3 linked regions of the Macaca fascicularis genome follow. The main gene of each other region encodes a partner of the protein of the gene in region 2 in a complex. Links are inferred from orthologs where the notes say so. Each region holds a gene or a part of one and is shown on either strand. Other genes may lie near its edges.

Region 1 (3,653 bases), on a different chromosome or scaffold from region 2:
ATCACTAAATAAATTTATACTGCCAAAAGAATAAGTTTGAATTTCATTCAAATACAGTAACAGCAGAAGTGTAGTAAAGCATTTACACTTATGGGCATTACTACTTTATTATTAGGATAGACAATCCATTTTCCTCAAAATAAACATACCAACTGCCCAAGAGTTTGCCAACAGTACACATCCAACAGCTAAAAATACCATAATTGGCAATAGGCTTCCATTTTGACAAGGCTTTCAGTGTATGTTGTAATTCCAATCTTCATATCAAGCTGATTCAAACAAGATTCTTTCAACACACTAATATTTCAATTAAAAAGGCATGTATGTTCCTTTGATAAGATCTATTTTTCAACTGTCCACTAAATTTTTTAATAGCTATCTCTTTAGAGACTCATAATTAGACAAATCATGCTTACAGTGGCTGGCGTCAATATTGCCAATGCAAACACCGACCTTTTTAGGAAGAGAAATTGAAGAGGGTTGTAAGAATTCTCAAAATAGGGCCAGGCGTGGTGGCTCACGCCTGTAATCCCAGCACTTTGGGAGGCCAAGGAGGGCAGATCTCCTGAGGTCAGGAGTTCGAGACCAGTCTGGCCAACATGGTGAAACCTCATCTCTACTAAAAGTACAAATATTAGCCAGGTGTGGTGGCACGCGCCTGTAGTCCCAGCTATTCGGGAGGCTGAGGCAGGAGAATGGCTTGAACCCAGAAGGCAGAGGTTGCAGTGAGCTGAGATTGTACCACTGCACTCCAGCCTGGGTGACAGAATGAAACTCCATCTCAAAAAAAAAAAAAGAATTCTCAAAATAAACAGTTTGACTAGGTGTCTTCTACATAATACTATTTAATTCAGACAATTCTCAAAATATACCCTTATTTATGTTAGGGGAAAGTTGGTTTCTCCATGGATAATAACAAAAATTGGAAAACACAAGGTACATCTACTTACATCATCAATATCTTCATCATCATCTCCGATGTCATCGAACTGAATTTCATCATCATCTCCAGGACCAAATGTATCAGTTTCATTGATTTTAGCTAAGGACACAGTAAGAAATACACTGGTAAGTCAGCACTGTAATTTAATCAAAGTTTCATCATAAGAAAAGCATTCCTAACTTTTATATAACACAATTACTATGAAGAATATTATATGAAGCAAAATTCCCTGTAGTGTCACTGCTATGTCAAGATGGGAGTATCTGTGTTACCATTTTCTTTTGTTTGCAAAGGTATTTTCAGTAAGGAAGGCTCTAATTACACTAATTCTGAAGCTATTATAACTTCCAGGTATACTTCTCAAAAGGTTTGAGCACATGGTAACAACGTATTTCCTTAAGAATAGCTGGTTCACTAATCATCAGATAGACTCATCAATGAGAAAGATCTGGTCAAATCATGATTATCCCTAAAGAAATGAAAATGAACCAGTAAGCGCTAGTCTTATTCCTAGATACATTAACATTTATTAGATCAGAAATGCTAAGTAATTTCAGCAGGACTTTCATGCTTAAGTAAAATTAATACTTTCGTGCTTAAGTAAAACATAATAAAATTAAGTTTTTTCATAATAAGATACAACAGAGCCAAAAACAGTAACTGCCAAGTGAAAATGCAGGCCTACAAAATAGTATGTCAAGTACATTTCTTGTTTGATGAGGTTGTAAGGGACTTATTTTTAGGTTTTCTGCTTTAAGAATTCATTACTTTTGTATTTGGAAGGGTGAAAACCAAGAATGCTGCTTTTAAAAAATCCTACGGGATACTGTTACACAACGATAAAATGAAAATAGAACTTTTTACCCCGTCTCTACTAAAAATACAAAATTAGCTGGGCATGGTGGTGCATGCCTGTAATCCCAGCTGCTTCGGAGGCTGAGAATTGCTTGAACCGGGGAGGCAGAGGTTGCAGTGAGCCAAGATTGCACCACTGCACTCCAGCCTGGGCAACCGAGTGAGACTCCATTTCAAAACAAACAAATAAACAAACAAACAAACAAAATCAGTAATAGTACCTAATTATGTGCCCTTGCTTCATGTTTTTGTTTTTGTTTTTAATTTTTTTTCAGACAAGGTCTTGCTTTGTCACTGAGGCTCGAGTACAGTGGCATGATCACAGGTCACTGCATCCTCGAACTCCTGGACTCAAGCAGTCCTCCCGTCTTGGCCTCCCAAGTAGCTGAGACTTACAGGCATGTGCCACCACGCCTGGCTGACGTGCACTTCATGTTTAACCCATATGAGCACTGACAGTCTCTCAAGAAAGGAATTTTAAAATAGATACTATAACAAAATTATTCCTTTAGTTAGCATTATGTGGAACTCCAAAGCTTACAGAATATAACTCCTCACTATATTTATTGGGAACAGAATTCCAGTAATTTCTTTCTTAAAATATCTAGTATTATGAAGCATAAGCAGGCATACTTAAAACTAAAAATGTAAGCACTAAAGTAAATAAGCAAAATCCACAGTTCCTTCACCTAAACAGCAACAGATAACCTAAATACCATATGACAAGTTAATACAGTAACTCAGACATTACCATGCTCTGGAAGCTCGCCGTATGCCTTCAGACTTCTAGCTTCATCTGCATTGTATTTTAAAATCACATCAGCTTTGTTATCCTTAAATAGAGACAAATAACTTTAAAAACTGATCATGACGAAATATTATCAGTTATTTCATAAATTCTCATATTGAATAAACAATCAAATCTCACCATTTTATTATAAATCTCCTTTTAAATTTTAAAGCTTTCTCATACCCTCTGAAAAAGATCCTTGGGTTTAACCCAGGAGGAAGTTTATGTACATGGCTGAATGATTATTAACAGGCTTGGGAAATATATTTAAAGATCTCACTTAATAAGAGCAGAACTGTGAAGACCCCATATTTTAGATTATTTAATATTACCCTTTGATTAGAAGTCTTTTGAAGTACAAAAGGTCCCTGGGACAATAATTTGCAGGGTGATCAAACACTGCAATTCCAAAACTGAGACTGAACTGAGACTGGTACAATGACCTAAGCAAATTATACCTTTCTGCATTATCTGTGCTTCTTTGGCTATGTATCATCACAATCTCCTGTGGAGTTTTTGTATCTTCTGAAGATAGATTAGCAGATGTGAAGAGAAGCCCAAGATTTAGTATTGTGAGAAGTTCTTTGCTATTTCTGATGCAAAAGTCCCACTGAGAAATACTGTCTTAGAATGTTCTACTTCCCTATTTGAAAATAATTTAACTCAGTTAAGGGAGAAAATTGATTGCTTCAACTTCAAGGACAGTGTGATTCAGATCAGTACTTCTTAAAATGTAAAGTGTATAGAAGCCCATGGAGATCTTATTAAAATGCATGCTCTGACTGAAGAGTCAAAGAATGTGTATTTCTAACAAGCTTCCAGAAGATGCTATTGAGCCAAAGACCACGCCGTAAGTGGGAGGGGCACGGAAGGATCACGAAAAATTTCAAATCAGAAGTTGGTCCTGGCTGTTACTTTACAGTTAAAATGTTACTCATTTCGGACCCTTGGTGTCCTTATCTATCGAACAGGAAATTACTTATTCCTATTCCTGGGGTTATTGTTAGATCATAAGAAAAAAAGGGACATTAAAATGGTATGAATTTAAAGCAAGCTTTCTCACCT
Region 2 (3,653 bases):
CCCCATGGGCAATTTTAACCTTTGGTGAAAAAACTTTGAAAACTCTGATCAAGGGTTTTAATGTACCAAATATTTTCCTATTTAAAACAACCAGGAATATAATGAAGATGTGTAGTTACCGTTCAGAATAAAATCTTCTATCATTTGATAGAAGATCATACAACTGCTGAATATGAGCAAGACCTGGTAAAAAGATCAATACTGCTCCTTCAATATTTCTGAACTGGGGACTTTTATCTGAAATTTTAAAAAGATACAATATTCAAAATAAGAAGATAAAAGGAACAGCATATAAAATATTAACAAAACATCTCAAGGTAGTAGAAATGTTTTATCAAATAAAATGGAGACCCATTAGAAATAGAAATATACCTAAGTAGGCAAGAAGTTCCAAAATGAGATCCAGGTTGATTTTATGAGGATTCATGTATAGAATAGCATGCTGAGTGCGGCTGCTGTACTTCTGGTAAAATGGATTTAAATCAGCATTTGCTCCAGTCTGAACTGGGATGTATTCCTAAAAGAAATCCAACCAGAGGGAGCTGAATAAAAATATTAAGTATTTTTGTAAGACAAAGAAGGAAAAAAGGCGGTATTTGCATTCATCAAATCTATATTTTTCTCATTGTCACCATTACTATTTTGTTAAGATACAGAAAGAATATACTTAGTAGTGGCAAGAATATCAGAAAGTATCATCTCTCTCCTATAATTTAATGTCATCCAGCCCTTAGGTATAGCAAAACCTTTTTATCTTGGCATATACATACTAAAATAATTGTAGAAAAGCATATTGTAATCATGTATGCATCATTCTGTGGCAACTAAAAAGCAGCCAGGCCAAGAGAGGTCATAACTTTAATAAGTAGTTTGTACCTGGCTCATTCCTTCTACATTGTACTTTGGCTCCTGAATTCCAGTCATCTCTTTTGAAATAATTATACTTTTCTAAAGTCTTTCTTTAGTTAGTAATTTTTACCTCTGGTGTTTTAGGGGAAGATTTTACTTTTTGCTTTCTTGGTCTATCTGCTTAATAAAAATATAAAGATAACTTTAACTCTGTGTTTTCATCAAATTGGAAACATGCATGAAATATCATGGATATGACAAAAATGCTGGATCTAGTACCACTGGCTAAAATGCAGGATAACATTGTTTTTTTGATATTTGAACTTCCCAGAAAGAACTATGCCCTACACAGCTTCAGTATGTACGTATGTATGTATGTATGTATGTATGTATGTATGTATCTATCTATCTATCTATCTATCTATCTATCTATCTATCTATCTGTCACTATCTACCTATCACCATCTTGCCTCTGCCCTGCTCCTGCCAGGACAGAGGCTAAGAAAACCAATGGCAAGGATCTAGATTTGAGACCTGCCCTATCCTGATCACCTATGGTGTTGAGATGAAGTAGAGAAAAATCACTACTATGTACTCCTCAATAACTGATCACTGTTACAAAATTGTTGTAAGAAGTTGCTTCTAACTTGTATGGTCCTTGATTTTGTATGTGTACCTAGATGGCCCAGAATAGTTTAAGAGGACAATCAAAGTATCACAAATCAAAGATTACAGTCTATGAAATAAAGATTAAAGAAACGACCTTTAAAATTCGTTCATTCTCAGATCTATTCCTCATCTATCAAATTATACTCAAATTCACTGTGTTAACCATATGATTTTGAAACTCTTGTGGCAGGTTAGGCCCTGGATATCATTATCTGATATCTTTCAAAATATTTTCTTTTTACCTGATATTTTTTTATTCCCCCTGCTTTGCTTGTAACATTAATGGTTACTTCTTCTTCCTCTTCCAGAAACTTCTGACAATATTCTGAGTCTTTCTCCAGTACAAAACCTGTTTCTTCTATTATATCTTCAAGATGAAAAACCTGCATAGAATAAGGCATATAAATGGGTGAATTCAAATTCATTTCAGTAAATATCATTTTAAAGAGAACAAGGGGACACCACCTTTTGAATGTCACCAAACGCTAATTTAGAATATTATGAAAAAAATGTTTAGTATTATTTGGGAATGAAGACTTGGTTGACAAAGAGGGATTGTCTCTAAAGCCTCAAGACAAATTACATTATGAGATATATTTATATATATACATATAATGTGAAACAGTTAAGAGTAGATTATATTAGCTGAACTGAAAAGGTAAGAATCAAGAATAGAATATGTAAAAAGGAAGCTTCAAAGACAACCCTAAATTTGAGGGGTGGGTGAAAAAGGAGTTCCTTATTGCCAGGTAGCCACTCTTTTTTTTTTTTCTCCCTGACCATTAGATGACCAGGGAAGGGCGGCAACTCTTAATCTGAATATAATGATTTTCATGTGAAAATAGTTTTATGTTCTTTAGCCCTTAGGGCTGTCTTGAGTCAACACCCTCCTTTCTCTCCTATCCAGCCTCAGGCAAGGCAGTAACAGCCATCTGATTCTTAAGGCTGTGTCCCGCTCCTCTGTCGACTCACTGAACCTAGGAATAGTTCTGGCCTCAGACTACAAGCACCCATCTCCTAGGGAAAGAACCTGTTGGTAATGCAGTTTCTGCTTATACACACATTATAAAGAAAACTTACCTCAACAGGATAACTTCTTCCTGAAATTCTGAGAATAGGGCAGTGTGTGAAATACGTAGAAAATTTTTCGCTGTCCACAGTGGCACTCATTAGAATCAAGTGTAGATCAGAACGTTTCTGTAAAATTTCCTTCAAGATAATTAGTAGGAAGTCTGACTGGACACTTCTTTCATGAACCTAGTTTTAAAAAGGGAATAAAAAAATTCATCATATATTGTACAAATTCTAGTAAGAAGCTTGAACAATCAGACACCCAGATTTACTAAAAGTTATTCAATATCTAAGTACAGTCAGTACATGTGCAGGGAGGGAGAAGCTGTATGTTTTAAATAAGGCAGATCTTCAGAACTGAAAATAAAGTCATTCTCTAAAATTGAAGTCACTGAAAATCATATAATGAACTAGATTAGCCATGACAGCATGACTCTACCCTAGGAGATGGTTCGCAAATCAGATCAGATGTAGCTGATAAGGCCGGGTACAACTCTAAGTTTGAGGGATGCGTGAAAAAGGAGTACCTTATTGCCAGTAGCTCATACTTGAGCACTCTGGGAGGCCGACACGGGCGGATCACCTGAGGTCGGGAGTTTGAGACCACCCTGGCCAACATGGTGAAACCCTGTCTCTACTAAAAATACAAGTATTAGCCAGGTACGGTGGTGTGCACCTGTAATCCCAGCTACCTGGGAGGCTGAGGCAGGAGAATCTTGAACCCAGGAGGCAGAGGTTGCAGTGAGTCAAGCTCATACCACTGCACTCCAGCCTGGGCGACAGAGTGAGACTCTGTCTCAAAGAAAAAAGAAAAGATGTAGGGTATATCCCAAATTTCACTTAGAAGCAAGAGTGACTGCTAAATCTCTGCCACTAATATAAAACTATACTGTCACCATTACAAGACAGATGGTTTATCTACTAGGTAGAAAAAGAGGCATTAACTAGCAGGAATCCAAGAGAATCTCTATCACTGTCAGAAAAAAGGGTTTTATGCTCTTCCAACACATGCATTTTAGGGAAGAGCATGGATGAGGTATACTGTCAGAACTTTAGTATCTGTT
Region 3 (4,185 bases), on a different chromosome or scaffold from region 2:
CCACCACTTACCTTGAAGAAAAAAAGAAAGAAAGAAAAGGATTAGGAGGATACTATACTATGCATATCATGGCCAGTTACATGCCCAATAAGATAATTTAGAATAAATGAACAAATTCCTGATACATAGAAACTATTTACCTTGCAGAAAGAAAGGGAAAAAAAAAAGGATTAGGAAGATACTATTCTTTGTGTATTATAGCCAATTATACACCCAACAAGTTAGATAATTTAGAAAAAATGAACAAATTTCTGATACATACAAACTACCAGAACTGACTCGGGAATAAATATAATACGAATTCATAATCAAAACTAAGGCCTTGGACCATTTAAAGAATTAACGAATTTACATCAAATGTGTCCAAAAACACAGAAGAAAAAGGGACCCTACACAATTCACTCTGTGAAGCCAGGATTATACTGATCCTAAAGCCAAAGTCATCACAAGAAACAAGCCAATATATCTTAACACAGATACCAACATTCTAAACACAATAGTAGCACACACAACAAATCCAGTAAATCAAATGCTTGCATATCACAATCAAATGGAATTTTATCTTGAAATAATTTCACAACAGGCAGTCCATTTGAGACATTTGGTTACTGTAAGATTCAGATGCTTAGTCTCACCCCTTCCTATATATATTTACCTTCCATTTCCTATACATATTTACCGTCTACTGTTTGTCAGTATTCCGCTGGGTGGTAGCAATCTTAGGCGACAGGCCCGGCCTTGGTACTTACATGGTTTAGGGTGAGGTGCTGAGGTAAAGAAGACAGAGACTGAAAAAAAAAAAAGGCCAGGCGCGGTGGCTCACGCCTGCAATCCCAGAATTTGGCAGGCCAAGGCTGATGGACCACAAGGCCAAGGGTTTGAGACCACCCTGGCCAACATGGTGAAGCCCTGTATCTACCAAAAATACAAAAATTACCCGGGCAGTTCGCTCCACTGCACTCCAGCCTGGGCAACAAGAGCGAAACTCCGAAGGAGGGAGGGAAGGAAGGAAAGAAGGTAAATAGGGAGGGAGGGAGGAAGCGAGAGAGGGAGGAAGGAAGCATTCTGAACATAGAGGGTCTTGTCCTAAGTCAGTCCTCCAATATTACTGTGTAAGAGTAACGGCTCTCTTAAAATTTAGGTGTTTAAACGACCCACTAACTTGTGAAACTGGAAAACGTTTTTTTAGCAAAGCGGCGGACACCAGGTAACCGCCCCGTTCCATCCTTGACTCCACTTTCTCCACCTTGAGTTCCGCCCCGCTACCTGTTTATTCATCCGGCACCAAACTCTCCGGTATTCCAATGGGGTCTACTAGGTGTCAGTCATTTGGCCACGCCTCAGGCGAAGAGAGGCGCGGAAAAGTATCGCAATTAGGTGCGTCGCCTATTGCTGACGCCAGAAAGTGTGCGTCCGCAGTTTAGCAGAGAGTTCCGTGGCCAGTCTGTTGTGCGCACCCACCTGAGGCATCTTAGGTCAGCCTGCTCTTAGAGAAGTAGTAACCGCCAGAAAGGAGTCGGAAGAGGTCCCACGAGGCTGTCTTCACCGCTATGCCCAAAAATAAAGGTACTGCTGTAAGCGTCTGGGACTATACCTCGGCTTGCTCTGCCAGTAACCCCGATGTCTGTTCCAGGCCGCAGTAACTGTTCTTCCGGCGGAACTGGGCACCGCGCCCCCTGCACTCTGTTGGGGAAAGGAGTTGGGAATGCCCGATTTGGTCACATTGGGTGGGAGAGACGCCATTTTTGTTGGGCCTGCTTCGGAAGGTAGCGGGCTTTTGCTACTGTTTCACGCCAGACGGAAGGCGTGTAGGTAGCGGAGGGTTGAGGGACCCTAACCGGACGGCCTGGCTTCCCAGAGTAGGCACCTGCAAACTGCCTTGCTACTTTCCTTTGAAGCAGTTCTTAACTTAGAAGATTTACGTATCTGGACAGTTAAAAGTATTGCTAAGGATACTCCTTTTTCCTTATTAAACAGTGGGGAAACCTTGAAACATGTTTAGGTTCGTCTCTGGCATTTTACTCTACCCCATCCCCTTATAGAGTGTAACATTCTTTTGCAGAAGAATTGTTACATATTTAGGCAAGTTTTTAACTTCCGTATCCGACAAATATCGTGGGAGTAAAGACATCAACCTTCCCTTCATTCAGCGTTTAAACTTTCACACCAAGGTTAGACTTGAAAATAAGTTTACTTACAGTTTCTAAAGTAGGAGGTCTAACCTCGGCAGAACTCTTGCTCAGTCGTTTCTGAAAGAAATTCTCCTTTATATAGACCTGAGGTAATCGCTCACATTTAATGCCCTTGTAATTACTTGAAGAAAACTATAGGTGGAAACAAAATGTATTATTTTCCACAGGAGAGGACCATATTTTTAGTACACAAAAACTCTGCTTAGATTATTCCTTCTTGGGACCCACACCAATTTGTCTTCTTTTTACTTGCTTGTTGCCACCAAGGAGTCTGTTTCATTTTCTCTTTATAGCTGTTACGACACACAATTCGAGGTACTTGGTGACAGTACAGGGCTCTGTTTTCTGGACATTACTCTTTGCTCTCCCCAAAACCCACTAATGAGTTGTTTGTATAAGATTTGTTTGTTTTACTGCAAAATTATTCGAGGATAAAAGTGTATTATGGGAGAAGTCTAATTAGAGTTAGCAAAGGCTTATGATTTTCACTAACATTTTCTCACATGGTACTGAACAACTTCAGTAAGTATGTTCTCACTTTTATTTCTCTTGATGAGATTCTCAGTTCTCTTAAGTTATCGATTCTAAAGATCACAGTATCTCCCTTTGCAAAATGTCCATTAAATCTTTGTTGATGTTGCTATCCCTGTACGTGACTCTAGCCTTAAAATAGTAAAGCTTCCTTTATTCTTGTAGGGTAGAACTTTTAAACTGAGTGATGCTTAAGAAGGTTCTCAGTAAAGAGTATCACCAAAACACATAGGGTTTGTTTAAGGAGAAGGTATGGATTTGTTGGTCATAGAAAGAAAGCAAGATAAAATATTAAACGATTTTAATTGTTATATGTTCATGCCTAGCCTCATTCTTTTAAAATATAATTTAAAGTGGAATCTGTTACATGGTATTACGGTAGAAGGAGAATAATCAGGATTTGGTTAATTCTGGTAAATTGAAAACAAATTTTTGTATCATATCTGAGGCACATAAAAGAAGTACAGTGGCCGGGCGAGATGGCTCATGCCTGTAATCCCAGCACTTTGAGAGGCCGAGGCGGGTGGATCACGAGGTCAGGAGCTCCAGACCATCCTGGCTAACAGTGAAACCCCGTCTCTACTAAAAATACAAAAAAATTAGCCTGGCGTGGTGGTGGCTACTAGTAGTCCCAGCTACTCCAGAGGCTGAGGCAGCAGAATGGTGTGAACCCGGGAGGCGGAGCTTGCAGTGAGCGGAGCGCCACTGCACTCCAGCCTGGCGACTGAGGAAGACTCCGTCTCAAAAAAAAAAAAAAAAAAGTATAGTAATACAGTGAACTCCAGGAAATCCATACCTCTAGGAATTACAACACAGATTCGTTAAAGTCCTCTGTTACCTCTCCCAAATTTATTTTTAAGATTTACTTACCATCCTGAATTGAATGTTTTTATTATTGTGTAAAATCAGTGTTATCCTCTGGGATACTTAGTTGAAGGATATTTTTGAAGACCCCTACGTTTTATGAGATGAGACTTACTAATATAGAAGTAAAACTTGCTCATTTGGCTTTTTGTGTATTTTTGTTTTTGTTTTCATTTGAAAATCCAGATGTCTGTCAATATTGTCGTGGTGAGGTTTATCCAAATAAACATGTAAATGAGCATGGGCCATATGTGGAATTACTTTTTCTTTGCACTCATGCAGCTGGTTTTTTGCAGAAATCTCAGAAACCCATCCTCACATCAGGAAAAGGGCATCCTTTGGCCTACTTGTGAAGAGCTAGAGTAAGATGCTCCCACCTTTGAGATTGCTGTATGCAATTTAAAAGTTGCCATTCTTTTGCAAATGTGTAACTAATCATGATTTAGTCATTTGAAAAGCTGCCAAACTTTTATAAAACCCAGTAAGCAAAGCAGGTATGATCTTTGTCCTGACGCAGCTAAGTTCAGTCACGATTAATGGCTCGAAATATAGAATGTGTTTTCCTTTGTAGAAATTTAGTTTTGGCATACCCTAAGAA

What was found.
Region 1: DHX29 (region 2) and EIF1AX share a complex: the UniProt entries of both Homo sapiens proteins name them as parts of the 43S pre-initiation complex. The link is inferred for Macaca fascicularis from reciprocal best matches to the Homo sapiens genes DHX29 and EIF1AX.
Region 3: DHX29 (region 2) and eukaryotic translation initiation factor 1A, Y-chromosomal share a complex: the UniProt entries of both Homo sapiens proteins name them as parts of the 43S pre-initiation complex. The link is inferred for Macaca fascicularis from reciprocal best matches to the Homo sapiens genes DHX29 and EIF1AY.

The regions. Positions count from the first base shown.
Region 1 is NC_088395.1:19,994,573-19,998,225, forward strand, and holds part of EIF1AX (eukaryotic translation initiation factor 1A, X-chromosomal), read right to left. Parts: intron 2,632-3,653; coding exon 2,550-2,631; intron 1,043-2,549; coding exon 951-1,042; intron 1-950. UniProt on the Homo sapiens protein: Component of the 43S pre-initiation complex (43S PIC), which binds to the mRNA cap-proximal region, scans mRNA 5'-untranslated region, and locates the initiation codon. This protein enhances formation of the cap-proximal complex.
Region 2 is NC_088380.1:60,695,893-60,699,545, forward strand, and holds part of DHX29 (ATP-dependent RNA helicase DHX29), read right to left. Parts: intron 2,776-3,653; coding exon 2,599-2,775; intron 1,902-2,598; coding exon 1,761-1,901; intron 518-1,760; coding exon 373-517; intron 238-372; coding exon 120-237; intron 1-119. UniProt on the Homo sapiens protein: ATP-binding RNA helicase involved in translation initiation. Part of the 43S pre-initiation complex that is required for efficient initiation on mRNAs of higher eukaryotes with structured 5'-UTRs by promoting efficient NTPase-dependent 48S complex formation.
Region 3 is NC_132903.1:7,967,627-7,971,811, forward strand, and holds the start of eukaryotic translation initiation factor 1A, Y-chromosomal, read left to right. Parts: upstream 1-1,369; 5' UTR 1,370-1,550; coding exon 1,551-1,566; intron 1,567-4,185. UniProt on the Homo sapiens protein: Component of the 43S pre-initiation complex (43S PIC), which binds to the mRNA cap-proximal region, scans mRNA 5'-untranslated region, and locates the initiation codon. This protein enhances formation of the cap-proximal complex.